4 linked regions of the Struthio camelus genome follow. The protein of the gene in region 2 interacts with the protein of the main gene of each other region in a pairwise test. Links are inferred from orthologs where the notes say so. Each region holds a gene or a part of one and is shown on either strand. Other genes may lie near its edges. The genes, in order: PRKAA2, L3MBTL3, NGB and TTC19.

Region 1 (7,447 bases), on a different chromosome or scaffold from region 2:
GAGGAATATACAAGTTTGAGGGCGCAGGGCGAGAACTTTTTTCCTATCAATCAGCTGCCTATTCCAGCCCTTATCGTAGCCCTAAGTTAAACATGAAATCAAGGGAAAGCATATATTTAGCAAAGCTGTATTAATTCTGTCCCACTGCCATTTGCTTAAACCTTATATCATCCTTCCCTTCATCTGTTTGGTCTCTTTAAATTTATTATCCCTGGTTGTCCGTCAGTAGCAATTATATAGTGCCTTGGAAAAGGGGATCTGACCCTGCTCAAGCCCAAAGGTACCAAAATAATAACCAACGCACACATATCACCAAAGAAATATAGGCCCTTGAGGGACCACAAAATTGATCACCTTGGTGACCAGCAAGCGTGGGGACAGAAACCACCAAGTGGCCACCCAGGACTTCATGCGTGATACCACATGAAAAAATATTTGCATTACTCAGCTGTATTTTGATTGAAACTCTCAAAGCAGCAACCACCATGAACTCCATCGTGCAACCTCTGTGGTCGCAGGGAGAGCAATGGGGTGGGATATGCCTAAGGAAAACACAGGAGCAATTTATCTCATCCGTTCTTAATCTCACCATGCTAACGAGTGAGGTACCACCCTCTTCCTTCCATGCTTCACTCAATGTAAAAGCCAAGAGAATTCCCTTACAGCCACCTGAATTTTATTTCCTGCAAGTTAATCTCCAAAATCCTGCTCTCATCTACCAGGTGCTTTGCTCTCCTCGCCTTGCATGTGCCAGCGCCAGCACTTGCGTGGTCTCCCCCTGCAAGAGGGTCGCAATGACTTTTTCTGTAGCAGCTCTGGTTTCTGATGGCTTCAAGTGACTACTCAGCTACAGCCACAAATTCAAGCTGTGGTTAGTACAGCAATTTCACAACCCCCTTCCTCCCTGCTTCTAATGCCATTTTCTTTTTCCTTAATGACTGTAATCTAATTTATGATTTCTTAACTTTGGAGGGTGAGGCAGGAAACCCTGCTTCTCACAAAGTCTAGTGCGAGCCAGAGTTTGAAGAAAAAACAGCAGCAAAAAAAAAAAAAAAGTAACTGATGGCATCTCCCTCCATAGTTAAAAAATCCAACAGGCAGAATCTCTTTGTTTTGTTTCACGTTTCCTGCTAAACAGGATGAATTCAGGGTATTCTAATGCTGTTTTGATTAAGATGCTATAATGCCATATAAACAGCAGATCTAGTTTCTTCATCTAAGTTTCCAGTCTCAAGTCCAAATTTCGTCTGTCAAACGCAGACTGATGTTACAGGCAACATGCTGAGGAAAAGAATATATATGTGTATAGGGTACCACTTAACCATAACTGATTTTGAGTTAGGAAATCTCCTTTATTTTAAATGTCTCTTTGGAAACTGTCAGGTTTTACAAAAATCGGGCTATATACAGCGTGTGCGTGGTGTTCATGCTAGCTAGTTGAGAAAGGTAGCTAAGAGAAAAGGCTACTGTTGGCAGGCTTAACTTGTTCTGTAGGGGGAAAAAATTGCCTTTGGAGCACTTTTGGAGCTCTGCTCGTACACATGAGTGATTTACATGGTCCTCACTGTTAGAAGTATTTATTCTGATAATTCTTTAGGCAGTGGATTTGTGGGTTTAGATGAAACAGAGTAATATATTTTTAGGGGTCTGATTAATGGTCACGGGTGGATTTAGCTCCAGTGGTGGAGGTGGCTCCTCTCCCCTGCTGTCAGTTTTGGTTTATTTTAATGCCGCAGTCCCTGAGCGTGTGCACATCACCCGTTTGACCAGCCACAGGATGCCGCCGGTAACTCCAGCAGCAGGGCAGGGTGCACAGCGGAGGGTGGTAGCTGCTCTGCCAGCCGTACCTAAATCATCAGTCACAGCTCTTTGTTTTGCTTAGATGCAAGTTTTGTACAGTATCTTTGATTTTTTTAACTTGGTTCAAAGGTAACAGTTGCATGCAACAGAATTAAATAGAAAAAGAAATACAAATCTTTGCAAATCTTCCAGTCAGGTAAAGTAAAGCTGGTGCTTTACGTGAAAATGAGAGTTGTCTCCTTGCTGGCGTGAACCACGCGGGAAACCCTGTGTGTGAATGAAGCCTGACCCAAGTTCTCCACCGCTCCTGCCTCAGGCCTTGTCTCCCCCTGCCCCGTGAGAGTGGCTTCCCGCGCTCCCAGCAAGGCTGTTGGCTTCCCAGGGCGAGAGGTACCGCGACAGCAGAAGAAACCCCTTCTGCTCCCGGTTCCTGCCACCCGCCCGGCTGCGAAGCGCTTGTCCCCCCTTTCCCAAAACCAGCAGAGCGGCCCCAGAGGGATGGGGACGCGCGGGCTCCTGCCCGAGGCGCGCGCTGCCGCTCATCCTTTGCGTCCATCACCCTGCCGCGAAGAAGGAAAGTTTGCAGGGGTGTGAGGCAGGCGCTCGGGGGGACGAGGAGGGCAGCAGCTCGCAGGGACCGTCCGGCCGCTCGAGGGAGAGCGCGGGTGCCGCCCGCGAGCCCCGCACCCCGTCTGCCCCGGCAGAAGCGTCCTGCGCTCGGCGCGTGCCACGAGCCCCCGCGGCCGAGGGGCTGCGCGCCCCGCGGGATGCTCCGTGCCCCGCGGGATGCTGCGCGCCCCGCGGGACGGGCCGGGCCGGGCCGGGCCGCGGCCGCCGAGCGCGCTCCGCGCTGCGCCCGCCGCCCCGGAGAGCCGCGCGCGCAGGCCGCGCCGAGGCGCGGAGCGGGGCCGCGCACCGCGCCGGCAGGCGGCGGCGGAGGAGCCGGGCCCGCGGGTGCGTGCGCGGAGCGGCCCCCGGGGAGGGGAGCGGGGAAAGAGGGCGGGGGGGGGGGAGCCGCGGAGGGGGCGCGGAGCCAGCGCTCCCCCCCCCTCCCCGCGCCGCGCCGCCCGCCCTGCCCACCGCGGCCGCGGTACTCAGCTCTTGACTTTGCCGAAGGTGCCGACCCCCAGGGTGTCGCCCAGCACGTAGTGGCCGATCTTCACCCGCCCGTCGTGCTTCTGCTTCTCGGCCATGTTCGCCCCCCGCGGCCGGACCACAATGCACAGGGCCGGCCGGGCGCGGTGCGGCGCGGCGGCGGCGGCGGGGCGGGCGCAGCGGGGCGCCGCGAGGCCACGGTGGGGGGCGGCGGCGGCCTCCTCGGGGGGCACCTGCCGTGGGGGGTGACATCTACCGGGGGTGACACCCTTCCGGGAGTGACACCTGCCTTGGGGGTGATGCTCTCCTCCCGGAGGGGTGGGGGGGATGCCCTCCGTACCGTGCGCTCTCCGTGGGATGGTCCCTCCTTAGGGCACACCTGGCTCTGGGTGGCGGCCAGCTTGGGGTGCACCTGCCCAGGGTGACACCCTCCTGGGAGTGACAGCCAGGGTGATGCTCTCCTAGGGCTGTGTCCTCCTTCTGGTGCACCCTGCTTGGGACGATCCCTCCTAAAGGCACACCCAGCTGGGGATGGTAGCGAGCTTGGGGTGTATCTGCCTGGGGTGGCACCCTCCTGGGAGTGACACACCCCTGAGGGTGACATGCTCCTTGGGGTGTATCTGCCTGGGGTGACACCCTCCTGGGAGTGACACACCCCTGAGGGTGACATGCTCCTTGGGGTGCATCTGCCTGGGGTGACACCCTCCTGGGAGTGACACACCCCTGAGGGTGACATGCTCCTTGGGGTGCACCTGCCCAGGGTTCGGGATGGGGCCTTAGGGCTGGAGAGCCTGCCCACCTAGGAGGGATGTCGTGGGGTGGGGGCATGGTGCAGCTCCTGCCCTGTGGGGCCCAGCCCCAGTTCTGGCGGGAGATGAGGTGGGAGGGTGGACAGGGCTGGTCACAGCGCAATAATGGGGATGGTGATGGGATGAGGGACACTGGACACGTGGTGGCAGGACTGGGCAGGCTGGCAAAATTCAGCGTTGGAGCAGTTGGATGGCAGCGTGGTGCTGAGTGCAGAGCAGTGGTGGTGCCAGGTCTCGGGACCCTGCCGCATTGAGGCAGGACGATGGACCTGTGGATGTCTCCATGCTGCCTTTCACCTGTCTGCAAGCAGCGGAGCTTGAGCACACGTGAGTGTGTTCACACGAGCGTGGCTGGGACCGGCTGCGTTTGGGTTGGTGGTAGCACTACCACCCCGGGCAGCTGTCAGGCGTTGCATTGCGTGGTGGTGGTCAATAAGTGGTACTCGCTTGGCAAAGCAGACACAGGAGCTTTCTTGTTGGTCAAAACTATATTAACATAAAGGAGCAAAACAGGTTCAAGGGGAAGGACACATCGATACATTGATAGCTGGTGCGGCCAGCTGAAACCATCTATACCTGCTCACAGCGCTTCCCTCTTCGCAGCTCCCCTACACGGACACCAAAGCTGGCCTTTGGGTCACCACCTTCTCTGTCTCCCTTTTTGCTTTTCTTCTCCTCCGCCGTTATGTTCTGTTCATGTCAGCTGTTTCTCATTAGTTGCATCTTTGCATTCTTCCCCACTCTGAAATTACCTTCTGACCACCCCCAGGTCCTTCCTGGAGCCCTTCTTCTCCTCATCTTGACTGGGAAGCCCATTCTGGTTTTCTCCTTCCCCTCACCTCCCTCTTCCCAGGCACTCCGGCAGGGGCAGGTCTCCAAGGGAAGTGGTTGGTGTGAGGGGCTGGTCGGGGGCTCTACTCCAAGTGGCTGTAGCCGGGCTTGGCGCCCGCATGCCCCTTCGGGACTGCCCCGTGTTTCTCACTCAGGCTTCTGGGGGAGGACTCTGGCTGGGGAACTCCAAACCCACGCCGTATTGTGGACCCACGTGCAGTAAGTGAGGCCGACCGGGAGCCTCGTTCCAACCTTGCACTTAAACCTTACTGTAGACACATGCTGCGAGTTGCTCGGGGCAGACGTAACAAATGTTCCCGTGAGCTAACAGCTCGTCCTAATACCAGCGTTATCCATTCTTTATCGTTCAGCCCTGCGACAGCCTGCAGTCAGATAGGGTAATGCTATACATTAAATAATAACACAGCTGCTCTAGGCAGGCTACCTTTTCTCTCTAGAATTTCTACCTTGTTAGAAATGTAGTCTGGAAAAAAAATATGTGAAGCGAACACCCGCTTAGTGATCCCAACTCTCCTCTCTAATGAACGTTTCCTCCTTTTCACTCATCAAGACAACTGCAACCCAGAAAAGAAAACTCTCGCCATGCTCCGCAGCACCAGAGCTTGGCAAGCAGCCGGCACAGGAGCTTTCGGCATAAGGGGCTGGCATGAGGCCACAGCTGGTGTCACATCCCTGGTGCTGGGGCAGGCAGGCCATCGGCAAAGGCCGAGCAGGGGCTCTGGATCTCCGGGCCGGAGCAAATTGGAGCCGTTCCCCTGCTCAGAGGGTGTAAGGTTGCAGGGCTCAACCTGAAGCACCAGCACCAGGGAGCTGTGCTGGGTGAGGGGTTTAACTGTTTGTGTAGGAGCTCAAACCTGTTTCTCCTCCAAGCAATCGTCTGCTTGACATTTTCAGATGAAAGTCCAGAAAGTTGATTAAGCAAATCTGGACATTCTCCATAATCTTCTAAACAGGGCATATGAACTTTGCCTGGGCCGCACAAACAGATCGTGTTGAAAAACATGCATGCTCATCCTAACCACGCAGCATGTTTGAACACTAGTCTTTTAAACCTATTTGGAGAGTAGTATTGTTTTAATAGTGCTAATTCCGATTTCTTCAATATTAAACTTTCTCATTCAGTCACAAGAAATAGCAGAAGGCAGGCGCGAAGGCAATCCACACTGTGAAACAGCGAGGAGATATTTGGGAAGTCAGAATGGGAAGCTGTATAAACAAAAGATACCTGATAAAATAATGACGAGCCTATGCAGCTATACCATGGTAAATAATCAGAAGATGATTTAATTCAACAGATCCAATAATACAAATAACAGTGGCAGAGTAGAAACAAGAAAGCTGATATAATACAAAACCATATGTACTGTAATGAAACCACATCTGTTTAATCAGAGTGATAGACCTACAATAAAGCATAAGAGAAACAGCACTTAAAAATAACATTAGTGTTTTCTTGTCTAAAGCTTACTGTCTCCTGCAAAGCCTATGAAAATGCTGTCGTCTTTAGGCACCTGGGTAAGTATGGGTCTGTGCAAGTCTGCACCTTGCAAAAGCCTCCAGCAGCTCTTTCCTGTCTTTGCGCACAGGAGTCCGTGCGGCTTGTCCGATCTGTTTGCTTCCAGCCTTGGCAAGCCCTGGCTTTGCCCTAGTGGAGCACCGCAACAAATAGGTGAGGTCTCACATGGTATTTCTTGACCTCCTTTTATATTTGAACGGAGCTGCTGTATGTAAATGTGCTATGTTACCCCTTGCTCATTGCCTAAAAGCTGGTGACTAAATCACCCCACGGACGTGCCTCATGGTGCATCATGAGCATTTCTGCAACCCATTCCCCACCTACCAGTTAATGCAGCCGTACGCTGTGTGCAGTTAATACAGCGCAGTCCCCACATCTGCAGTGTCATTTGTCTGCGAAACACGCTCATATATATACCTTAACCCTTCCTTAGCATTTTTTACACTGCTGGAAAACACACTCTATACTAGAGTATAGCCTGAGTAACCAGGCTGATACAACCTGGTCAAAGCCCAGCAGCGAGGAGCTTCCTTGGTACGCACCAGCTACTTCTTTACCTTGTTACTCAGTAATCCATTATGCACACAGAAGTTGTTTAATAGAAATGTTGAATTAAGATTGTGCAATCAATTTTTTTTTAATTTAAAGGCTATATTTTGTGTGTTTAAGGTTGTATTTGTGTGTGCGACTGTATAGATACATATGTAGATATATCTCGTGCCCCAGTGGGGAAGGGAGGTGTGTTGCTAGCAGCACGGCAACAGGCACGAGATGAAGGGTCTCGAGTAAAACGTGTGAGGTGGGAGAAGTGTTGCTAGGAGATGCAGACTCCAGTGTCTGGCGAAGCAGCATTTTTATTTTTGGTGTAGATCAAATGAAATGTCATTTGACTGCGAAGCAGGATAGAAATCTCTTCCCCTTGCTTGCCTTCATCTCGGTGAATGATCCGTCCGTGCCTGGTGGTGTTGCAGCTTGTTTAAAATAGAAATCAAATGCAAGCTGGGTGCTGTTAATTAAATGCTAATGTAACCATGCCTCCTAGGAGCATCCCAGTTAAAGAGTGTATCTGAGCTGCAATTTCTTTGCAATCCCTTGGGCTTTTATTTATTTATTTTATAATTATTTTTTTCCCTCCACTCTTGGACAAATCCCTTGCTGAAGCAGCGGGATATATGTATGTCTCAGTGTGTTTGGGACAGAGCTACAAAGCCTCACGCATGTGAAATGCCTCCTGTGCAGGGCTTGCTCTCTGCCCTCGTTTCGTGATGCTGAGTAGGGGTGTGATTTCTCGGTCCTGCCGGAGCTGAGCTTCTGGGCAAGTCCCAACGCAGCAGGAGAGGGAAACTCTCCTGCACTGGGGAGCAATTAGACCGCA
Region 2 (7,263 bases):
TCTGTGACTTTCTGTGCCTGGTTCAAAGCATTAAGAGAAACTAAGAAATGGGATATCAGGGTTGTTTACTCAGGTCTTACTGTCTGATTAACTTAAATCTGAATTCAGAACTGCACAGGTGCTAACAGAATACGCAAGTCATTAAAGTGGACTGCAGAGGAAGTATTTTTTCTAAGCGAGGTACAAGTTCTTTGTGACAAGACAGAAGTTGTCAGTGATAAATTTCATTAGATGAGTCGGATAGCTTTGGAATTGGATAATTATTGTTATTAGAGTTTTCTGTGGATATTTGAAAATGACGTAGTAGATGAAGGCTGTGGGTAACTTTGTAAATGTTACCCAGTTCCTAGCAGTGGTCCAGCAATACCAGTGTTAGCTTACCGGCAGAGACCAGATTCAGGTGAAAGCATCATAAGGCTTCTCAAGCACTAGTGCAGAATTACTGTTATCAAAGAACAGATTCCGTGTATGAGGAAAAAAACTTTAAGCTGATCTACTGGAAAGCAGGAACAGACGTATGCAGTGCCCCTGGAGAATCTAGCAGAGAAACGAGTAGCAACAGCTAAAATAAGAAGAAATAATATTAAAGGCATATCATCAGTAGGAAGTCTGGTTCGTTTACTGCTACACGTGTTAAGAATGGTGAAGAATTTTAAATTTAGGTCCTTTGTGACTACAATGCCAACCTATATATCTTATCTTTAAAATAACTATTTTGTAATAAACTTTGTGAGTAACAGGCAAAGTAGTGAAATTGACGTTGCTCAAACAGCTCTTGAGTGCACAGAATAGAAAAATGGCAAATCTGGTAAAATATTTTTTAAACTACAGTATGAATAATGAAATTTGAAAGGAAATGTGTGATCTGCAGATACTTCTTACGATAAAAATATATTATTAAATAGGTATAAAACAATGTGCATATTAAAATGTGGTGGATGGCCTCAAAGCATGTTACCAGTTTCTGCACTGTGGTTGTCTTCTTCAAGTAAAGAATCAGCTGCAAAAAGATTAAATGGAAGAGAGAGGCAAGTGTGCAGTATACTCAGCTCAAACCAGATGATTGTGGGAAGGAAAGCTGGACTCACCATGATAGCTTTACAGTGAATAGCAAGTAAGTCTTTTTCCTTGTACCGCCGTTCTGCACAACAGTTGGCTTAAGTTTTGCTTTGCCTTCAGTGTCATGATGAACCTAGCTTAATACAAAGTCTGTCTAAAACAGAAAAGGGAGCTTAGGTTGCGAAGGATAATTCTCCTTTGTGTGGCTTGGGGGTATAATGATTCAGCCCTGATATTTTTCACTTTATTCTGTGATAAAGGGAATAAAAATGAAAATGAGCATCCATCCGTCTACTGTCTAGAAGTTAGAGCACTCTATTTGCTGCTCTGATACACTGAATTGCCCCCATCTGATCCACTTCATTTTCCCTATGTGTTATAAATGTCCCACCTATCTGTAGATATCTGCAGATACTACACTAAGCAGTCTCCTTCTTGGACCTGACCAAAACAGCTATGAGCAACGTTAGGACAAAAAGCTGGGCTGGGGCCTACTCTTGTTCCTTTGTTTCTGAACATCTCTCAGCACTGGCATCTCCCAGCTCCATGGGTGTCTTTGAGGAACAGGGAACATCGCTAGGATGTCTGAGGACATCACCTCCCATATTTGATGCTCTCATTTCACACCTTGCACCGTTTGTTTAGACCACTTCTGGCTCTGTTTGTCCTATTTTTCTCTTTTCTAGCAAGAGTTGTTAGTTGGGGAAGGGAGCAGGCACAGGCTTGTTCTCTCCTGGAACGAATCTACTGGGCACTCCTGTCACGGTGGTTTCAGGAATCCTAAAAAATAAAATAAAAGTACACACGAATGCAAAAAGGAGTGCACATGCTTATTCACAGATGGATTCTGCTGATCCAGTAGTACTGTCTAAGGGCTTTACTTTTGAAATCTCCTCTCTTTGCTGTTGAGTGACCCCGTATTGAATTGGGCACGTTCTGGTGAGAAATTGTATGTACTACTACCTTGCACACGTCATAGATGGCATCTTAGATTTTCAAAACTTAGGTAGGTGTCAGGTAATTTTTTAAAGCCCTGACTGAAAGAAAAAATCCTTCTATTATTACTTTTTGACATACTTAGTACATAACCCTGTAATTATTTCAAAAAATACTTGTAGGTTTAGTTGGCATATTCTCTTCTATTTCTTAGCTTTAAGTCTTTAAATAGAGAATCTTCCACCAGATTAAATTATCTAATTTTTAATGCTGTTATTCTCGTTAAGTATCAGTTCTGTGAAGTATTCACTTATTGTTGAGCCAGTTGGTAAAAATGAATGGTTTTCTAAAGGATGCGTCTAATCTTCTTTCATAAGCTTGTTTATTTTAAGACATTTATTAAATATGTCTAAAACAAGGTTAATGTTGAAACATGAAAACGCAGCACACAGCTTTAAAACACTCCTCTATATATGTTACAGCTTATGGCTGGGAAGACTGAGATACAGTTATGTCCCTAATAGTGGATTTTGGATGAGGCTTTTGGAATATGAATGTTCCACGTTCTTATTTTGTGTCCTTACCTTCACATCAGATGGCATTCAGTGATAGGCATAGGTACAGTATTGTAGTAGTACTCCCCATATTAATTCAGTATTTTTACTACGTTCCTAGAGTTGTGTATGATAGCAAGAGGCGTTATTATAAAAGGAGTTCAGTTATACTAGTTCAGAGAACCACACCAGAGCTTTAAAGATGAAAGTGGAAATGAGTAGATAAGGCATTCCGTAGTTTTCTTTGTTCTGTGATTTAGATGTAGATACTGTAATGCTTTCATCCTTTTTTAATTCCTCATTGCTATAGTGATTTAATTGGTCTGCTTCTTCCTCCTCATTGTCCTTAGCAGTGGGATATAGACCTATCAACCTTGATCTTTCATCTGTTCAAACTCAGCAAAGCTGGAAACTGGTACTTTGTTAAATGTGGCAGCTTTGGGTAAATTCACTTCAATCTGTATTGCCCCATTACCTTTTCATCCCTACACAGAACAGTTTGGAAGGCTGCAAAGAGGACCAGTAGGTGAAAGTACAGATTGTGCCTTTAATATTGAGTTTAATTTTAGAAAAAAAACAAGAGTACCTTGTCAAACAACAGAATACACCATTGCTACTCATTATTACCCGATGAAAGCTTTCTTAGGTGCAATTAAGTTAAAATTTCTATGGTTTTCTTGAGAGAAATGTGCACGGTACGGTTCTATTATTAGTATTTTATTTTGACTTTCACAGTTTACATCCTGCGTAAGTAGTCTAGGCTGTAAGTTTCCCCCATCCCCCATCATTTTTTGGCAAGTGATTCTGTTACAAAATGTTTATATGATGAGAGAAGCTCTATCAGAAACTCCAGAATGTGATATAGCGGCTGTCTGCTGCTTCTCGCTCTGTGGGACAGCGACCACTGCAAGAAAGCGTTTCCCCACAGTCTTCAAAGTCTCTTCCCATTTTTTGGTCATTCTTTCTGCAGAGCAGAAGCCATTAGAACGTTTTCTGTAATAAATACACCACAGCATAGTTGAGTGCAGTGTTCTTTAAATGGGATGGTAATTTAAGATTACTTAGAAACTTTAGTTAATACAGAGTGAAGCTTTGTGTTTGCTTAGCCAGACTACTCATGAGGAACACATTACACCAGTGTGCTTAAACAGCATCTTTTATGTCCTTAAAATTTCATGGATTTCTGGGTAAATCCAATTTTTCAGCTAGTCCATAGCAGTTGAGGTAGGTCTTGTGTTTCTGAGAGGATGCCTACATCTCTGCCATGATGTTGCAGTTTAGTTCGGTGTAAGCCTGCTTAGGTTGGTATATTATAGTGCTGAAGACTGGATTCTTAGGACGGTCTAGAGCTCAAGTGTGCTACTTTCTTAAGTCAAATAGAGATTGTCCAGGTTGAATTTCAGGAGGTGCTATAAGCTGGAGTGATGCATTTTGCTTGGGAGGGATTTTAGACGGTGAGTTGTATGGGTTTGAGAGTTTTTCAATTTACCCTAAATTTATTTAGATTTATTGATATATTAAAAGTGAATTTTTGTACATTGGTGGTAGGGTTTTCAATATGTTCACACAGAGAAAAACTAAAATTAGAGATAGAAAAGAACTAAAATTAGAGATAGAAAAGACTCATTCAGTTTTGTTCTTCTTCAAATTTGTTTTGTGACGTCTATAAAGTTTTGTAAAAAAAAAAAAAAACTCCTGTAGGCACAGGTAGCTATTTTCTCCATCTCTGAACCCGACCTGTCATACAAAATGAAGAGGAATGCAGAAGCCTTCACCGTCAGCAGTGGTTACTGATTGAGGTCCTGCTTCTGTCATGTTGTTGACAAGGTATAGGGGCTGTATTGTAACAAAAGTACTAGTGGATTAAGGTGTTGCTCAGGGTGGTAAAAACTTTAGAATTCTGCTATAAATGAAGAAGAAATCATGCAGAAATATAAAGGAGTTCACACTGCAAACACAAAATGAGAGTAATGTCTATCTATAATGTTCAATTGATGGCTATAATTTTTCTACTGCAAAAATAGAAAGTTGAATATTTTTCACACAACAGTTAATAATTAAGTGTTTTCTCCTCAAACTTTAAGTCAGAAGCCTCTGGTAGATCTGAGTTTACTTCTGCTGGGGTTGCATCTTTTTCTATCATCTGCGAGTAATACAGTGAACGCATTTCACTTAATCTTTTTTGTGGAAATTCCAGATATTGAGAGAATATTAACAAATATTTGCAGAGAGTAGGTTTTGTGGGTAGAATTTTTAGAGATAAAAAATTAGATTTTAGAAACTGGGGTCAAACAGCTGGGGAAACTGCCTGCCTGTTTGAATTTCAAATACTGATACTTGCAGCCAAAGTTTGCAAGCGGTCTGCAGGCTGAGTATGAGGCTTGGAAAGTATTTGTTGAAAAAGTTCAAAAAGTGTAAATTTCAAAAGAAATAAGCTTTTGGTGAAATAAGCTTTTCAACTGTTAGGTGTAGCACAGCAGTCCTTAACAAGGAAAATAATTGAGTCAAACTTCATGTTGAATAAATACTAAATTAGGTGCCAGCCCACAAATTTAAAGATCTCTGGGTTTGTAAAAAGTAGAAAGGAAGAACTTAGCAATAGTCACAAATGGCTGCTAAAAACATTTACAGTTCAGCACAACTGATGTCGTATTTGTGATAGTGACAGGAGTTGTATAATTGTATTGCTTGTGCAAATGATTGGAGATAAATTCTTACAACAGAGAAGGAGGTCCAAGTCTACTATTTCTAATGGTAAACAAATATTTTCTGCTCTGCTTTCACTGCAGTGAAACAGAAGGATACAGTAAAATAAAGTCTTCCAAAACAGCTGTTTCTCTGGTGTGTATATGCTTGTCTATATGTAAATACATTTTAGAAATAAATAACGAATATTTGGTGAGCCTATATGGTGACAGACAAGGAGTATTTGTATGTTCTGAGTCAGACAATGAAAGTGAAGGACTTTCAAATTCAATTTGAAATTTTAATTTGGACTGGAATGAAGTATGTTACCAGATATTAAGGGAAACCAGTTATTTTAATCAGTTCTTACGATGTTTATTATAGGCATGTGTTTATGCCTTTCATTCCCTAGAATATGTTTTTCTTACATATTTCTAGGATGTGTTTGCCCAACGTCAATCTTTTTGCAGCTTGAAATTATTTATTTCTCTTCAGTTCAGCTCATTAATAAGTAGTGTATAAAGTAGATACTATTTTCTACGTTTTTCAAAGACTTGCTGTTGTTTTATTACATTAGTTTTTATTATCAGCATAGTTCTGTACATTGTAAGTGTGTTGAGGGATTTGATACTAGTCTATGCATTTCAAAGTGCATTTGAAGAAATGTCCAGTGATTTGAGCATTAAACTACTTTAATTTACAGGTAAAGCCTTTATATATATATATATATTTTTTTTTTTTTTCTTTTTAGTACATGCATCATGAATGAATCTGCCTCTAGTGGGAATGGACAAGAGTTTGATGTATTTAGTGCTATGGACTGGAAAGATGGGATAGGTACTTTGCCAGGAAGTGATCTAAAGGTAAGATACGTAACTTCTTAATAAGTGAAATAACAACTTTATATGCCAAAAGAATGTATTACAAGTTGGTGTGTAGGTATCTGCTTTTATGAATAAAACATGCAGCTCTGAGTTAAGAAACTGTAGCCTGTTAGCTTTTAGCTCTGGAGTTTCTTGATTCAGTTTCTGGTGCTGGCAAAGACAACAGTCATTCCCGTAGGAAGGCATAAACGAGCACTGCCTCACTATTAGGACAGAAGTAATCAAGTGCACAAAATCCAAGACGTCTCAGAAGTTAGTGTGTAAAATCAGTCCTCTTAAAGTATAATACTAACTAAAAATTTTTTACAGTCACTGACACTTAAGTCTCATGTTCATAGTACTTTTTTTTTTCTAAGAATAGTTTATTTTTCTGTACCTTTGTCATGTGGGTGTCTTAAAGCACCCACAGATATTAAAGTAATACATATATTGATGTTTTAAAATAAACTGTTTATTTATCTGATACTTTTTTACAGTGTCCTCAGAAGGTATTCAGCTGTTTTAAGTAAAAACGCAGCTTCGATATTGGAGACTTTCTTGCACTTATTTCTCGTTGGTTAAAGTCAATATTTTCGTATAATTCTATTTATATTAACACTGATAGACTCTTTTCATAGTTTAATTTTTAAATAAAATCTCACAAATTCTTTTAAAAAGAATTGTAGTTCTTAAGGAACTTTTATATACCTTAGTGCCTAATACAATTTATGTTGTTGAAGTGAAGAATCAAGAAATGTTTAAAATACAGGACAGATACATTGCAAGTGTCTTTTTTAGAGTCACAGAATCATAGAATAAAATCACAGAATAATTTTTTTTGGAAAGGACAGCAGGAGACCATCCAGTCTGGCCCTCACTTAGAACAGGGCCAATTTAGATCAAGTTGCTCAGAGCCAGGTCCTGTAAAGGTTTGGTTATCTCCAGCAATAGAGATTGCACAAACTCTCTGGGCAGCCTGTTCCAGAGTTTGACCAATCTCATAGTGAAATTCTTCTTTCTGTTGTTACTTAATTGGAATTTCCTCTTTTGCAACTTGAGTTGGTTGCCTCTTGTCCTTTTACATTGCACCTCCAAGAAGAACTGGCTCCATCCTCTTTATAACCTACCACTAGAGTAGTTAAAGGCAGCAGTAAGATCTCTCCTTA
Region 3 (7,954 bases), on a different chromosome or scaffold from region 2:
TTTGTGATTTGCTTCGCTACTGAGCTGTGCAGCATTGCATCCTGAGGGGGTAGCTTAGAAACTGGTGGGAATGTTGCCTGAGGTCTGTTCCCACCTGAGGATGGGGGCAGGGAGTACAGGGAGAAGAGGAGCTCTCATGGTCTGCAGTTTCTAACAAACGGAGACTGGAGGCAAGGGGGAGAAAGGGATGAGCCAAGCTCAGGAAGCTGGCCCCAAGGTGAGAAGGGAGCGTGATGTAGCTAGATCAGAGTGGCATTATTCATGAGGACTTGCAGAAGTAGAACTGGAAATGAACAAGAATCCACGGGGAGATTAGTTTTTGTTAGTATAGCAAGTGAGATGAAAACTGACAGTGTCACAGCAGCATGGGCAAAACAGTCCTCCCTAGGCCAGGCTGATGTGATGCCCACTGGGAGGGAATTATGTACGCCGACTGCCCTGAACCCTGTGTGCAGGGTTGGGGAATGGTGTTTGTGGGGTTATTCCCAATTCTATTATTCTGTGCTGTGAAATTGGAAAAGTTTATTTCCCAGTGGGTAAACTGAGGTGCTGAATAAGCAAAGCACACACTTGGCAAGGGGAGTTGAGTGTTGTTGAAAATGTAATTTGAAGGGGCTGTAGATTAGAATAATTAGAGCTTCTGCCAGGTAACATTATACATTTATTTTCTTCTAAATCTTTATTATCTTTCTTTCTTTCTTTGCTGGTCATTGAGCTTCACTGGCAATCTACCTTCCCTGTCTCCAAAAGGCCTAAAGATGATTTTGGAACAGTCTGTGCTGGTGACCTGGTTCCTCTTTGCTCCTGACAGCTCCAGGGAAAGTCTTGCAGAAATCCAAGAATACTTCAGAAAAGAACTGAGCTACCGGGCTAGATATGTGGAGCCAGAGGAGTTGGAGACCACTGAGGGAAACCAACAGACTATGGAAGCTTTCACAGTGCCCAACTCCTTGATGCATCCTGGATGCTTCTTCACATCTGAAGGCTTGCTAAACACTTGAACAAGAAGAGAGCTTTGCTTGTTTGCTTTTCCTTGTACTTCACATCCTCCCTGGACTACACCTCAGTGCCATAGCAGCAGGAAGAACTCCTCTGACAGAGACACAGCTGCAAGGGAGAAGCTGTTTTGCATGCAGGGAAGAGCACTGCATCTCCTGAGCCCTTGCTCTTTTAAGTCACATGAATGGTTTTCAGATGTTTCTTACCCAAGAGCTCTTTTTGTCTCCCACCTCAAATCCCTCCTTACAGCTCCCTCCTCCTTTACTTAGATGACCTGCTCTGTCACAGAAAAATAAAACTGCTGGTTTTTTTTTTGTTAAGTTGAGAAAAACAAGCAGAAATGACAGAAGGCAATGAAAGAATGGATTACCCATGCAGAGGGGCAAGGAAACTGCCCCTAAATGTCCCTGTACCCTGCCTGGAGGCCCAACCCCTGTTGCTGAGGGATAGGGAAAGAATTAATTCTCTCCAGCTCTCAGCCTCTGCTGAGCTTAACACCAGTGTGGGTGGTGAGTGCCAAGAGGCAGGCAGGGGTATCACCCCCGTTGCCCTTATATCAGTCCATGGAAGAAGTCGTCAGGTCACGCTCAGCAGTTTTGCCACAGCCATTAGCGGCTGGTCCATTCTGGCGTTTGTGTCTTGTCTGTGTGTGCGAGCAGGCAGCCACCATCTGCAGCATGAAGGAAAAGTGTGGGTGGGGTTGGCAAAACTTTGGACAAAAGCCATAATTTCCCTATGGCTTCATTGCTATTGTCTAAGATATCCTTTCCATCAGGAGCAGCAGCTAAACCTGCATTTGGTTGCTGGCCTGGGATAATGATACCTGGTACGATACCTGCATGGACCCAAAGGAAGGCATCCCAGGTCCTAGCTAAGCTTTAGGAAGAATCACTATACTGTCTCCCTGTTTCATCCATCTTCATCTGCTGCATCTCCAGGGTGTGTGTGCACTTTTTGTATCCATCTTGCTCATATTCAGGATCTGTTCATTTTTACTACAATAACCCACTTCTGTTGTGCTTCTCTTCCTCTCCTTTCATTCAGCTCTGAATATATCCAAAATGTTGCTAGGCAAATATTCAGCCTAGGTTGCTACTCTGATTGCATGTATATCCTTTGAATCTATTTATTGGCACCGTACATCTAGTTAGGGCTCTCCACTCTCCTTTATAGCGTTCTGTCAGCACAGTGCTGCCTTGCTGTTCTGCTCTCGTTTCTTATTAGTAGAGTCAGGTTGAAATGTTCAGCCAGGCTCTGGTAAATCAACATGGCTATGTGATTGTGACGACAAGCTGAAATGTCATTCTGAGAGGTTTGTACAGATGCAGATAGGATGACACTTCATGTTTTTTGCTTAAGTGCTTGATCAGCCATAAGATAGCTAAAGGTTAGTTTTTGCTTTGCCATTGCTGGGCTTGTGTTGGTCTCCCTGCTTAGATTAACCTGGTATTTCCCACTTCTCTGCTAGCTGCTCTTTCAGACTCCCTCCAGCTTCAGCAGGTATCACTGCACTGATTTACCTTTGGTTCCTGTTGTGAATGTCTTCTTTGCAACCATACAGCCTGGAGACTGATTTTAGTGTGAGCTTGTTGTGGATCAGGAGATGGTGGCCAACAGCAGGCAGCACTGAATGTTGTCAACTTGCATGTTTCAAACCCTAGCCAAGCCTCCAAAATGATACTGCCTTGCAGTCCATGACTTCTTTAACGTTGAATACTTGTTATTTATCCTCTGTTTTCCAAGAATGTACATGTGTAGAGATCATATTTTTTCAGACTCGTCTTAGTTATTGTGAGAGCTAAAATGCTGTATTTTTAACAGCGATCAGTGATTCTGACCATCTTGCCTTACCTGGAAAAGTGTTTTGGCTTCCTGTTCTCAGCTGAAAATGCCAGGCCTGATCTCAGCAGGATGCTTAGCATTGAGCTCAGGCTCTGCGGGAGACTTGAGCCTCACTGGTTACCACCTGTGGGGAGGACCATGGGTGCTATTTTTCCCAGTGGGGGCTGAGTAGAGGTTTGGAGGAAAGAGGGAGAGTTTGTGAATAAGCAGCCTGCTGCCCAAGTACTGCTCTGGGGTCCTGCTTGCTTGCAGAGGGAGTGACTCAGAGCTGCAATATGGAGTGGGAATACCAGATTAGGAAGAACGGATGAGAAAATTGCTGGCAATGGGGCACATTGACTTTCTTTTGTTTTCAATAGATGCACTGGTCTGGTTTTTGCAATGTTCAGCCCATTCGCCACATACCTTCATCCTTCAGTACAGGCAGTTCTGCTGGTTGCCCTACATCTGATCGTGCTGGAGCCAAAAGAAAGCCATAGGTGTAGCAAGGAGCTGGTGTGAGACCAGAACCTGGATCCATCTGGGCTGGGTGTTGTGTGTCTTGTGCTGCACACAAAGGACGGTGTCCCGTGCCCACATACAGCAGGTCTGGAGCAGAGTTGTTCTCCTGTAGTGATGCTCGGAGTAGCAGCAAAGGGACGGAGAAGCTCAGAAAAAAGCCACAGTCATTTACATCCATGTTACTTTCCTTCTCCCACTGTCTTATCTGCAAGTTTGACTGAGCAGCTCTGATGCAATGCACTATCTCATCTATCACACCTGATGCAGTCATCACTGATCAACAGTGAAAATGTTTCCTGAACACACCTGCCATGATCTGAAGGATGATGATATTGAGCATGGGAATTTACAGGAGACAATAGCGATCTCAAAGGTCCAGTCTCCTGCTATCACTACAAGCAGACTGATTAGACTGATGGAGAACTGGCCCTTTTGGAGAAAGGCCCATGGGAGACAAGACAAGGCTGGGGCTGATAATATAGCACTGTGGCCTTGAACTTGCCTACTGTCAGGGATGAACTTAAGCGCTCCAAAGCGAAGACCCTCATTGCTGCCTACTCTGAATTTGGTTCCCGGTTTTCCATCTTCGCTCCTAATTACAAGAAGTGAGTCTTGTGTATAGTACCAAAATTTGCAGTAAGATCAGCACAATTGTTATTTCAGAAACATTTGTGCTTCTGTGCTGCTCGCATGCTTCTGAAAACCTCAGCTTGCATGACTGCTTCTGGTAGTTTCTGTTGTGCTGCTTGAGACCTCGGTTGCTCCCTCTCTTAAGTTTCCTCCACACTGTCGAAATCCCTGGACGAGACTAAAAGCAATATTTCCCTTCATCTGGACAGTAAAGACACGTTGGCACCCTGAACATGTTTGACACACATGAAATGTCTTCTGGGCTCTTACTAATAGCTTTGTCTGGTTCAGCTGGCTTAAATCCCCTTAAATTATATATAGATGTTGCAATGTCTAGACTACACCTGCCCATGGAGATAGCAGGTGGCAGCAGGGAGCAAGAAGATGCTGTAGCTCTAGCCTGTCACTGAAGACCTCTAAAGCAAAGTTACCCTTGGAGACAGCTATGCTGAAGAGTTAGTGGACATGCTGGGTCCCTGCCTCCTCGCTAGCATTGCTTTGCTGTGCTTTTTACTTTGTAAAATTAGGCTGATCAGAAAATGTCAACCATAAATAAGCTAAATTTTCTACTCTGCCTTGAGGCTGAAAGTCCTGGGGTTGGCGTTTGGGGATTTATTATTATTTTAACATCCTCGCTGTGTGGGAAATACAGGAGCTCCGTGAGGCGGTTTAAAAGCCCTGCGTGGAGGGGGGGGGGGGGAGGAGGAGGAGGGCGCCGTCCCCTTGAGCGCCCGGGGGCAGCCAGCCTCGCCGCTGCGGCGCCGCCCCCGCGGGGCAGGGGAGGCGGTGCCGCGGAGCTGGCTCCGCCGGGCGGCACGAGGCAGCCGCCCGCGGGGCCCCGCTCCGCAGCCCGGCGCGCTCGGCGCTGCGCGGGCCGGGGCGGACCCGGCTGCGCGGCGCGCAGGTGAGAGCGGCGCCCGCCGGGGATGTGACGGGGCGGCGGCGGCGGCGGGGGGGGCCCCGGCGGAGCGAGGGGGCGTGCGGCTCCCGGCGCCGGGGCTGGTGCAGGGACCTCGGGCAGGAGCGGGAAGGTCTACCCGGCTGCGCGCCCCGCTCCGCCTGCCCCCTGCCATGGAGAGCGGAGCGCTGTCTCGCACGCAACAAGCTCTGATCCGAGAGAGCTGGCAGCGAGTGAGGGGCGACCCTGTGCAGCACGGCACGGTCCTGTTCAGCAGGTGAGCGACGGGCGGCCGGAGCAACAGGCGGCCCGGGGCAGCACGGGGGCCGGCGCAGGCGTCCCAGCCCCGGGCTGATCTCCCGCACCGGCCCGGCGGGTGGCAGGGGGGCGGACGGGCTCTGCTTCTTGGAAACATCTCCCTTTGCTTGGTAATGGCTCCCTACTGGCTCTGTTACGCGGTCCGCTGTCCCTCTGGTTGGCGTTTGCAGTCAGGAGGGGGAAGCGCAGTGATGAAGCCCCTCTAACGTTTAGCTTCAGCTGCTGTGGGCGTGGGGAAGGTCCTCTGCTCTGCGGCGCTTCTCGGCCCCTTGCCCTCCAGCCCCGTGCACTTCAGAACTTTGTTATGGGGAAATGGAGAAGATGGAGAGCGAAGGAAGGAGCCAGCAGGCAGGTTTTGTGCTTTTCTGTGCATTGATCCCCCTCGTTGTCACCGGGGAAGGTATTTCTGTTTGAAGAGCTGCATGTCTGCTCAACTCTGTGGGCTTTATCAGAGCGACTTCTTAATTGTCTGTGACATGGCAGTCTCCACATCCAGGCAGAGACCTGGCCACCGGGGAGAGAGTCAGTCCTAGAGCAGAGGAAGTGGTGTGCCAGGGGCAACATCTGAAACCCAACTCCTTCTCTCCCCTAAGCAGATTAATGTCTCAATTATGGGAAGAGAAAATGAAAAATCCATGAAAAGTCATTTAAAAAGCACAGTCTAAGAGCAGCTCCTGGAAAGGGGCATTGCAGACACGAGGCAAACCTTGCACAGCAAAACTATGACCAATGAGAGCAATGTTTGAAAGTTTTGGCAGAGGAGCGAGGGACGTGGTAGTTTAATGTGCAGAAAATGAGGGAGAAAAGAGACAGATTATCTTGTTTGAATTTCCCATGGCCTCCAAGGATGACACCAGCCCATTCGATCTGCCTGGGTAGCTCCTACTGAGACCCATATGTGCACAGCATATGCTGGCAGAGCAGATCAAGAGGAAATAAACTGAGAGCTGGTAATGCTGTGGGAGAGTGGGATGTTAGCTGGGGTTGCACATCCTGCCTTGCTGAAATTGGAAATCTTGCAGGCCTTCCCCAGATTTGACAGCCTTGGGACTCAAGGGGATCATGAAGTGTGAATAGGAAGAGTCAAGGTGACAAACAGGATTTTGAGGAGCAGGGCCAGGCTGGGAAGAACTCCAGTGGTCTAGGACTGATCCTCAGGTGCCATAAATGCATCAGAGAACACCATGCCCAAAATTGAGACTTTTTTGACTATTGATAACCTGGATTGCCCCAAGCTAAGACTCTTCAGAACTTCTGTGTCCTTCCCAGGTGGAGAAGGATCAGCTAGTGAAAAGGGAGGCAGAGGAGGGCTGTGGGCATGTTGGTGACAGGGTTGTGCCCTGGGTGAGGGGGATTCTGAAAAGAAAGTTGAGGAAGTGAGAAGATGGGGATTTCTCTCTCACTGTTGCAGGTTGTTTGATCTGGACCCTGACCTGTTGCCCCTCTTCCAGTACAACTGCAAGCAGTTTGCCAGCCCTCAGGAGTGCCTCTCTGCCCCTGAGTTCCTGGATCACATTAGGAAGGTGAGAGGGGGCCATGGCATGGCTGGAGCACAGACCCCCCATGAAGGAGGAAGCTCTTCAGGCAATGATTCTGGGCTATTGGATATCTGACTCTGGGGAACACATGGGAAGTCTTGTCCTGCAACGGCAACTGCAGGAAATTTCTTGCAGTAGCAGGAGGTGTTAGTGCCAGGACAAAGTGCCTAAAAACAGTGGGGAGGGAATGAGGATGTGGGTTGTGCTGGATAAGAGCACCACGCTGACCCCTCCATGCCCTCTTGTGGACACTGGAAGCTACTTTCTTCTTCTACCACGTGTTCATGTGTGAGCTCACTCCTGCAAAGAGGAGGACTGAAGTCCTCTGTTTGGCCACACGCTGAGCAGGAGGTTACACAGAGTTGGGCAGTGGGCAAGGCTCCTGTGGAGCCACTGCTTCTGGAGGGGCTCTTGGTGCAGCTGCAGAGTCAGAGGGCCCACAGGACCTCTTGTCTGGCTGCTGAGGCAGTACTGTGATATGCATTTGCCTCCCCCTGAAACAAGGAGAGAGGAGCAATGCTGATCTTGCAGGAGCTCGTATACAGAAAGAATTATACCCAGTGCAGCAGAACCCCTTTGCTGAGTCCTGAAATGTAGCCACATTGGGGCAGAGCACAGCCTTGGCATGGAAATGCCTCCATACGCTTCATCTTTAAGCCAGTTCAGTGCCCTGCCTGTCTTTATTCCTTGTAAGAGGCTGTTTCAGTACTGTTCTCCTCTGATAGCTACAAGCTCTTTACTATTTTCCAGCCTCTGTTTATCAGCCAAGTTAGGTCCATTTTTACTTCTGCCATTGTTGCCTTGAGCTGAATTGCTTTTTGCTCTTGTTGGAGATAATTTCCCTGTTGAAATTATAGAGCACAACTCTATTGCCCCTTGGCTTTGTCAGGCTAACCATGCCACCGGCTTTAATCTCTTCTCTTAAACGGATCCTCTCTTTTCCCTTCATCCCTCATTAACTCTTCTCCACCCTGTTCCCATTTGGCTCGTCATGCTCCTGGGAAACCACAGTGGTACCCGCTTTTCCGGACAAGGTCTCTTGGATGTACTACCCAACCCATCTTCTCAAAATGCCTCAGTTGATCTTAGAATTGCAATTGCCTTACTCGCAATTGCAGTGTCTTGGCAACTTCTAGTTGCCCTATGATTGACCAGTGTTCACAGCATCCTCTCTCCATCTCTCAGGGGGAATCTGTCCTGGACTGCCCAGCAGTTGTCCTGGGATCAT
Region 4 (7,703 bases), on a different chromosome or scaffold from region 2:
TCTGCAGCAGGACAGAACAGGAGGCTTCAGAGCAGGATTCATTAAACCCTGGGGTAATGGGAGCACTACACTTATACCACTGTCACACTAGTAAAAGTAGTCTTTCCAAAGAAGCTTCAGGCAAGAAAGAAAGTGACTTTTAGATCAGCATCCTACATGCTCTTTCTTCCCAGCAGGAAGACAACCTAATTTAGTACTGCATATATGTTCAGTGCCATCAAAGTGGCTTTTAATGCTACCTTAGTTTCCTATGAGATCAGTTAGCCTTTCTTTTCCTACGAGTGCCTGCCGCTACTGCTCTACACTTCACCTGTGGATGAGTCTCTCCCTGAACATCACTTGATATCTGCAGAGCCTTCTCGTACATTTTTTGGGCCACTGGGAGCTGGTTAATGCTTAGGAGATAGCGAGCATAGCCGTCTAGGCTCATCCCCAGCAAGAGACGGGTGTTGGCTTTTTCTTCAGCTGTGAATAAGAAGAAAAGAAAGTGAACACTTCTACAAGATCAAGCACAAGTCTACATCCTACGTGCACAGGAAATTCATGCAGTGTGAAGACTGTGGATTGACAGGAGGATGGTGCTTAGGCAACATGGAAAGCAACAGCAAGGACACAAAAACAGAGGAAAGACGGTAAGTTTTTGGCAAGCAAGACAGCACCACCCTCAAGCGCTCAAGGAAGGCCCACCTGATAAGACATCCTCAGGCAAGTCCTTTTGTTTGGCAATCTTCTCCTCTAAGGTCAGGATGCAGAACTGATAGCCAGCCAGGGCTAATTTGTGCCTGCAAAGTGCAATGACTTAGCAAAGCAAGGCTCCCTCCATCCCTGAACAGAGAGATGTTAGGACCTTTGTTTCCTCATCCTACATGGCCTATAAGACAACCCTTTTCCTTCAATGCTCCCTCCTTGATCGTGGCCTGGACCTACTCCTGACCAAGGGCAAAGGGATCTAAGAGGTGGAGAGAACCCTGCTAAGACCACCCATACCAGCAGCGCTCTCTCCCTTGTAAAAACGAGGTTATCTTTCCAGCACAGGCCACACACCAACTGCATTCACAAGCTTCACTCCGGAATGCACGTCTTGTGAGGTGTGAATTTAAGGCTAGAGAGCTCTGTCCTCTATAGCTACTGCTGCCTTGAGCTGGGCTGGTAGTAACAACAGTCACTGTGCTATGTGACAAGAGCAGAAAAAGATCATGCCTGTGGCATCATGTTCATGATACCTTGCCAAATCTAAGCTTCCTTGGGCACCCTCTTCCTCAAAGGAGGAGCTTCTGCTTGACTACCACTGCAAAGCTGAGATTAAAGATGCCTTTAGTAGGGAACTCACTCTTTCTGAGCAGCATAGATACTGGCCAACTTGAGGGACATCTCAAGGATTGCATTGTCATCCTACAAAGGGAGAAGACACAACGTAACTGTTATTCTTCTTGCATCTGCACAATAGATCCATTAGTTTGTTAGGGACCAAGTTTAGATTTTGAAATGCCCATTCTGTTGTCTTCAGAGCTGCCATCCATTAAATCAAGTTTCTGAAAAGTAGGCAAGCTCATTACCATACTGCCACTTTCCAGTAGGAGGTATTATATGGCACAAGGCAAGAACCACAACTTGTGGAAGTGCGTGTAAGCATCGTCTTTCCTAAACAAGAAACAGACCACAGAACGATGCACCACACTGTTAACACTTCCAGCTGCAAGCCTCTATCAGAGCAACATACCTCCTTGGTGTCCCCAGCAAGCATATAGCTCATAGTTGCTTTGTAGAGCTTTTCTGCCTGAAATAAGAGAAGTTTAAAGAGAACATTGAGGCATGGTGGCACTTAGAAGAAAGGCTCTCTACCCTTTACAGAGGCAGACTGCTGTGGGAAACCTGTTTGACATGGTTTGTGGCGTTTGCCTTGTTTATCAAGGCCCAGCTTGCAATCAGAACTGAAATATTAGCCAGAGCCCAGTGCTAGGGCCAGCCAGCAGGCTCCTTTCTATTTCTAGTTTAGGACTCCTACCTCAGCTGCGAGTTTACCACATCTGTGTCTTTTCAGTGTTTGCTAGGCTGTCCTTGTGCCAGTTCTCTAAGTGCTCGACTGTGGCATCTGACAGCAAGACGCACTCCTTCCCTTGCTTACCACGCTGGGGCTCACAACCCAACCGCAAAAACTGGCAACTGGTCACCGTTTTTCTTGGGATTCCTGCCCCAAAGCAGCGTGTTTTGCTTCAGGCTGCGAGATTTCTGCCTCACAAGGCTCCATATGAGGCAGGCATGGCATGCAGGGCGAAGGCAAACCTCTGAGGTCTCGGGCAAGAACTGGACGAGGGTGTCAGCCCCCGAAAACTCTGACGGTGGAGGAGAGAAAGCAAGAGGAGTTACTCACGTTGTCCAGCTGTCCCTGCATGAGGGCCACGTTCGCCATCTGGAAGAGAAGGACAGCGCTGAAGCGCCCCAAAGCTGCTTCCCGCCCGCGGGGCCCCGCGCCGCCTTACCATGCTGTAGGTGTAGGCGACCGCCTTCCCGTTCCCGGCCTGGTGCGAGAGCCGCAGCGCCTGGTGCAGCACCCGCTCGGCCTCCGCCAGCTCCCCCTTCGCCACGCTGAGCTGCGGCGAGAGGACAAAACGCGGCGGCGGGTGCGGCGCTCCGGCCCAGCCCGCCGCCATGACGCGGCCGCCGCGGCGCCTCACCTTGGCCCGCTTCAGCAGCACGATAATGGCGTCCTCCTCCTCCTCCTCCTCGGCGGCCCTGGGGAACAGCGAGAGGGCTGCGCGGGGGCGCGGTGAGCACTGCCGCGCCGCGCCGCGCCGCGCTCCTCCCGCCCCACACCCGCCTCACCTCCGAGGAAACCCAGCGCCCTGCCGCACGGCCGCGCCGCCCCCCTCTGCCGCCATCCCCCGCCGCCCCGGCGGGCCGCGCCGCGCCAGGCGAGCCGGGCCGGCGGGAGCGCCGCGGGGCGGGGGCGGCGGGCGACCAGGCGGCACAGGGCGCGCGACACCGCCGCCGCCGCCAGCATCCTGCCCGCGCGGGCCCTTTAAGAGCTCGGCGGGCGCGTGACGCGGGGCGCGGGCGCAAGGGAGGCCGTGGCCTAACGGTTCCCCCAACGGCTGCCGGGGGCGGTTGCAGGCGATGGGCGGCACCTTGCCGGCCGTGGCGGAGGAGCTGCTGAGGGAGATCCGGAGGGCTGTCGAGGAGGCCTCGCACGGTGTGTAAAGGGAAGCGGAGCCGCCGCCGCGCTGCGGGGAGGCGAGGCGAGGCGAGGCGAGGCGGCGCCGCCCGGGGCTAGAGCAAGGCGGGCGCGGCCTTGACAAGGAGGCCTAGGGCAGCCCTGCTCGGCGAGAGCTTGGGCGTGTTCGGGGCGATGACTGAAGGCTTTTTTTTTTAACCCATGGCTTTGGCCTCTCCCCGCTGAGCTCTTTGCCTGCTCAGGAGTTTCAAAACTAGAACTGGAAGGAAAACCCGGATTAAAAAAGGGTAACGTTCTCCGAGCTGACCGGCAGGGGGGGGTGTGCTCGCCGTCTCTGGCTACGAGCACCTTCCCTGGTGCTGAACGAGGAGAGCCTAAGCCAACAAGCAAATCTCGGCCAATTCTAGCAGCTAGTTAAGAACAGCTTCTTTCATTGCACTCGGGGTTATTAACATAGTTCTGTAACTCGCGCTGAAAGAATATTATTGTTCATGTTCACTTGGTAAGTAGTGCATAATGGTTCTTCATAAGGGAATAAAATAGTCTAAATACTTTTGCCGGCACTAAAAACAACCAAACGTACAGCGAAACCTGTTGAGTACTACGTTTGTGCGAGGAAGGGATGCCGGCGTAACATCTAAACTGCCCGAGTGACCACCTTGACAGTGTTTTGGTGTACTTGCGCCATGCATAGTGGCAGGTTAGGATAGATCGAAAATCTACGCGTCACTTTTTAAAAGAACTCTGTAAATCCTGTTGTAAACTGGAAAAAAAGATCAATGTTACTTTTAAGCTACACTTCTCTCTAAAGCGCTAGGACAGTACGCTGCGCTATAACCAGGGAATGAAGCTGCTCGGCTGGAGAATTAAATTAGATGAAAGTTGGAAGAGTCAAACCGACAGCATAAGTCACAGAGAATATTTTGAATTGTTAGAAGGAAGGATTTTAAAGTCAAAAGTCCCAGTCTTCCAGCAGAATACAAATAGTACGCTGTGTCCCATTAGCGGTAACGAAAAGATCAGATTAGCTAATTGTAGCCTAACTTATTAGTTAAAACAAACAGACTATTTTTCTTAATGTAATTTTCCATCTTAACAAGAAGTTCTGCTAAATTGAGACATTATGTTTCTGTATATTAAAAGCTATAAACTAGCAATGCCCTGGAAGACTATGTTGGGAAAAGAACAACATTGTTAGTTTTGATGCCGCAGAGTTCTCAACTCCTGCCAAGAGTGTTTCAGGGAAACCAATATATATATTTTTAACTGGCTTCTTAAAGCTGCAGAGCAAGTTGTTCAGGATGCATGTCTATTTGCATGCTTTTAAAAGCAAGATATTATAAAAGTAGTGTATTTGGGCTTCTGCATTTCTTTTTAAAATTAACCCCCATGGCTCTGAATGTATATGTAATATATATTTAATTGCCATACTTCATAAATGCCTTTTGTATAAGCAGTCGCATTGAAAGTGCATAGCTTATACTTGGAAGGTTTTCTGAGTCTTAGAAGAAATTGAATTTATGATTTATTTTAAAAGGATTGAGGAAACCTCAGTTGCTGTATTAACTGCATAGAACATCGCTTTGGGCTGAGCGCGGGTACGTGTTAGAGCGGAGATTAGGTACAAGGAGGGGGCTGGAGCCATGTGGCAAGTGTCGGACTCAGCCTGGGGAAAGGCAGTGCTGTTGTGAAAAGAGGATCCAGGCCTAGGTCAGGGGTGGGAGGTCCAGGACTGGAACTGAGGGGTGGGCGGTCTCATGGGGATAGCTTGGCACTTGACTCTTCTCAGTTTTGGTGCAATTCACGCAGCAAGGAATTAAGAGGAAAAACAACAACATTGCCTGACTGTTTGTTGTTCTTGCATATCTCTGGGTTTTGTGGAACCTGAGCTGTTCTGGTGGGTGTGCTCAGAGATGGAGCTCCCGCTGTGAAAGGTGGGGGAAGCAAACTCCCATCCACTGCCAGGTCTCCTTTCCCTGACACTGTCATGACTGAAATTTTCTGCCCTAGCGAATGATTTTGCTGCACCTTGTTGCACTTTTGGTGGCTAGCAAGGATGGCTTAGAGCACAGCAGGGTGCAATCTTGTGTGGCCTCTGGGGGCAGATTAGGAAGACTCTAGCCTCCCTGTGAGGCTGATGGCTAAGTCTCTCACACTGGGGGAGTTCAGCAAAATCACACTTCGTTTTGTTTTTGTTACAGTTCCTGATGACTTGCTCCTGGGGTAAGTATCTTTTGGTTTAGTTCTTGTCCCAAGTGTTCTGCTAAAGGACAGTTGATAATCTGCTCTCATCATAGTACTGCTGAGTTTTTTTGTTTGTTTGTTTTTTTGCTGTGTTTGACTAGTACATGTTTCTCATGCGTTGTTGCTAAATGCTTTTGCTGGTAGGGGGAGTGGCTGTCCAAAACGACTTATCTCAAGAGTTTTTCCAAAGATTCATGATAATTCATGAAATTATCTCTGTATCACTGAATCTCCAGTGATGATTTGCTCTAATTTGGGATGGATTAGACATGCAGAAACCCAGAATGTTTCAGCTGAGCTCTGAGTCCACTCTCAGACCTGGAACAAGTTTTCTGTGAAAGCAGGCTGTGTTTCAAATGACTCATGCCACTGGAACACTGCATCTCCACTGCCTTCATATTGTGTCACCTTGAAGATTACCCTGAGAGTTTTCTTCTGTTTTGAGGAAATTTCAGGTCAGCTTCATTGCCCTTGCATTGACTGAAGTTTGGGAATACGTCAGTCATACCCAAGAATTGCCTCCTCCCAAGAGATCTGAGTGTTGTAACTTCTGCAGCCCTCACTGATCAGTGGCAGTGGCAGAGAAAAGGTACTGTCACTGTGATAAAGGCTTTTCACTTTCGTCTTCAGCTTTGTGTCCCTGCCTGCCTGTAATTTAGGCAAGAGAGGAGGTCACCAGGAACCTTTCGGGCCTCAATATCTAAAGTAACACAACATAGCACTCTCTACCTGTGAAAGGTATGCATGCTGGCTCCCTCTTCTGGGACCATTGCGACCCTTAAATGGTGAGATTGTATTTGACAAGTCTCATAACTTTTTGTTTCCTTCTTGTCATAAAATAAAAGAGTAGGAGAGAAATTCCCTTGTTAAGTTTAGTAATGGTTGGGTGGTAACACTTGGCAGTCGGATTGCCATCAATTCTCTGTGACCAGGGGCTCAGAAGTGTTCTCATTTCATTTCTGAATCTCTTCCAAATCTCTCCAGCCCTTGAATTTCCTTTGGGCATTCCCCTTACTTATTTCCTGTTAGACTGGTCAAACTATATACATGAAAAAAGAATTCCCCAAATTGGAAAGAGTTACTGAAACTCATTAGACTCAGCCCTCTTGTAGTCCCAAACCTAATCATTAAGGAATGTCTTACACTGAGTGTTCCCCCACCCACCTCTCAGTCCATCAGATGAATCCCTATCGCCTTGAGTTTTTGCCACTTAAGTTTTGGTCTTCCTGGAATAAGTCTGTCTGCTTGGCTTGTTATCAATGAGATTGACTCAGACACACAGGTCAACCGTACTGCTGCGACACCAGGGCTCTGTCTTAGCTCTGTCTGTCTTGACTGGAGTTGGAAATGTTCCTCTGCTTTCTCTTGTTCGTGTTTTGAAATATCCTTTCATCACTGCTGATTTCCTGGTTGTTTACCTTTGTAACTAATCTAGACTACACAGATTTTTCTCAGTGGATAAAAGAGTAAAGATTATCTCTGTTACCCCTGAGCTCTTTGAAAGACATGCGAAGCGGCAGGATGTACAGATATAGAATAACTTTTAAGCCTAAGAACTGTCTGGACAATAGGGTAAAGGTTGAGGTCTCCATATTTGACATATAATTTAGCATATACCCTTGCATGGCATCATCAGCAGATACAATCCTTCTTGAACTATTCTGGTAGCAGGATCAGAGATGTAAAACTATGGCTATCCAGTTGCTCCACATGCAGTGGAGCATCAGCAGTGTTTCCCCGATGGCCATTAGCTTCTGATTACTGCACTTTGGAGGGTAGAGAAGGTTAATTTATACCTCAGTTGTGACGGTGATCCAGAAGACATGATCACTCTAAAATGACACATTTGTGCCCCGGGGTATAAACCAGTTTTCCCTGGGACGAGAAAGTAGCCTTACTGCTGCATTTCCTACTGCCCAAGGAGTTGTCTGTCACCATTTCTCTCTCCTTGCTCTGAGGAATGACGTGTTGGCCATGACTAGAGGTGGGATTCCAGACCAAATGGATCAATAATCTGATGTGGGGCAACTCATCCAGGACAGTCTGTTGGTACAGCTAAGGTGTCCCAGAGCACAATCCCTTTTCTCTCTTACCGTTAGCAACTCCGTCTCCATGTTCTCTTGTTTTCCTGGTGCAGCCCCTGCTGAAATCCCTGTTTATGCACATTGCCCTCATGTGACAGTTTCACAGTGTTTGCTGCAACAGCGATCACTGGGCTACATGTGTGACGCTGCCTGTTGATAGTAACACCTGTTGGAGCCCTAGCACTGTGCATACCCCAGAATCT

The links.
Region 1: the proteins of L3MBTL3 (region 2) and PRKAA2 interact in binary tests that used the Homo sapiens proteins (3 or more experiments, as listed by UniProt). The two-hybrid records come from large-scale screens. The link is inferred for Struthio camelus from reciprocal best matches to the Homo sapiens genes L3MBTL3 and PRKAA2.
Region 3: the proteins of L3MBTL3 (region 2) and NGB interact in binary tests that used the Homo sapiens proteins (3 or more experiments, as listed by UniProt). The two-hybrid records come from large-scale screens. The link is inferred for Struthio camelus from reciprocal best matches to the Homo sapiens genes L3MBTL3 and NGB.
Region 4: the proteins of L3MBTL3 (region 2) and TTC19 interact in binary tests that used the Homo sapiens proteins (3 or more experiments, as listed by UniProt). The two-hybrid records come from large-scale screens. The link is inferred for Struthio camelus from reciprocal best matches to the Homo sapiens genes L3MBTL3 and TTC19.

The regions. Positions count from the first base shown.
Region 1 is NC_090949.1:33,363,834-33,371,280, reverse strand, and holds the start of PRKAA2 (5'-AMP-activated protein kinase catalytic subunit alpha-2), read right to left. Parts: upstream 3,017-7,447; 5' UTR 2,994-3,016; coding exon 2,900-2,993; intron 1,771-2,899; exon of another isoform or gene 1-1,770. UniProt on the Homo sapiens protein: Catalytic subunit of AMP-activated protein kinase (AMPK), an energy sensor protein kinase that plays a key role in regulating cellular energy metabolism.
Region 2 is NC_090944.1:70,676,652-70,683,914, forward strand, and holds the start of L3MBTL3 (lethal(3)malignant brain tumor-like protein 3), read left to right. Parts: upstream 1-4,251; 5' UTR 4,252-4,362; coding exon 4,363-4,376; intron 4,377-5,985; coding exon 5,986-6,097; intron 6,098-7,263. UniProt on the Homo sapiens protein: Is a negative regulator of Notch target genes expression, required for RBPJ-mediated transcriptional repression. It recruits KDM1A to Notch-responsive elements and promotes KDM1A-mediated H3K4me demethylation.
Region 3 is NC_090946.1:59,044,242-59,052,195, reverse strand, and holds the start of NGB (neuroglobin), read left to right. Parts: upstream 1-4,951; 5' UTR 4,952-5,043; coding exon 5,044-5,147; intron 5,148-6,599; coding exon 6,600-6,711; intron 6,712-7,954. UniProt on the Homo sapiens protein: Monomeric globin with a bis-histidyl six-coordinate heme-iron atom through which it can bind dioxygen, carbon monoxide and nitric oxide.
Region 4 is NC_090957.1:17,543,689-17,551,391, reverse strand, and holds the start of TTC19 (tetratricopeptide repeat protein 19, mitochondrial), read right to left. Parts: upstream 3,017-7,703; 5' UTR 3,002-3,016; coding exon 2,824-3,001; intron 2,753-2,823; coding exon 2,676-2,752; exon of another isoform or gene 2,652-2,675; coding exon of another isoform or gene 2,592-2,651; coding exon 2,481-2,591; intron 2,411-2,480; coding exon 2,372-2,410; intron 1,778-2,371; coding exon 1,721-1,777; intron 1,393-1,720; coding exon 1,331-1,392; intron 783-1,330; coding exon 688-782; intron 466-687; coding exon 311-465; intron 2-310; coding exon 1-1. Other genes in the region: ZSWIM7 (zinc finger SWIM domain-containing protein 7), read left to right, coding at 3,115-3,190, 5,374-5,395. UniProt on the Homo sapiens protein: Required for the preservation of the structural and functional integrity of mitochondrial respiratory complex III by allowing the physiological turnover of the Rieske protein UQCRFS1.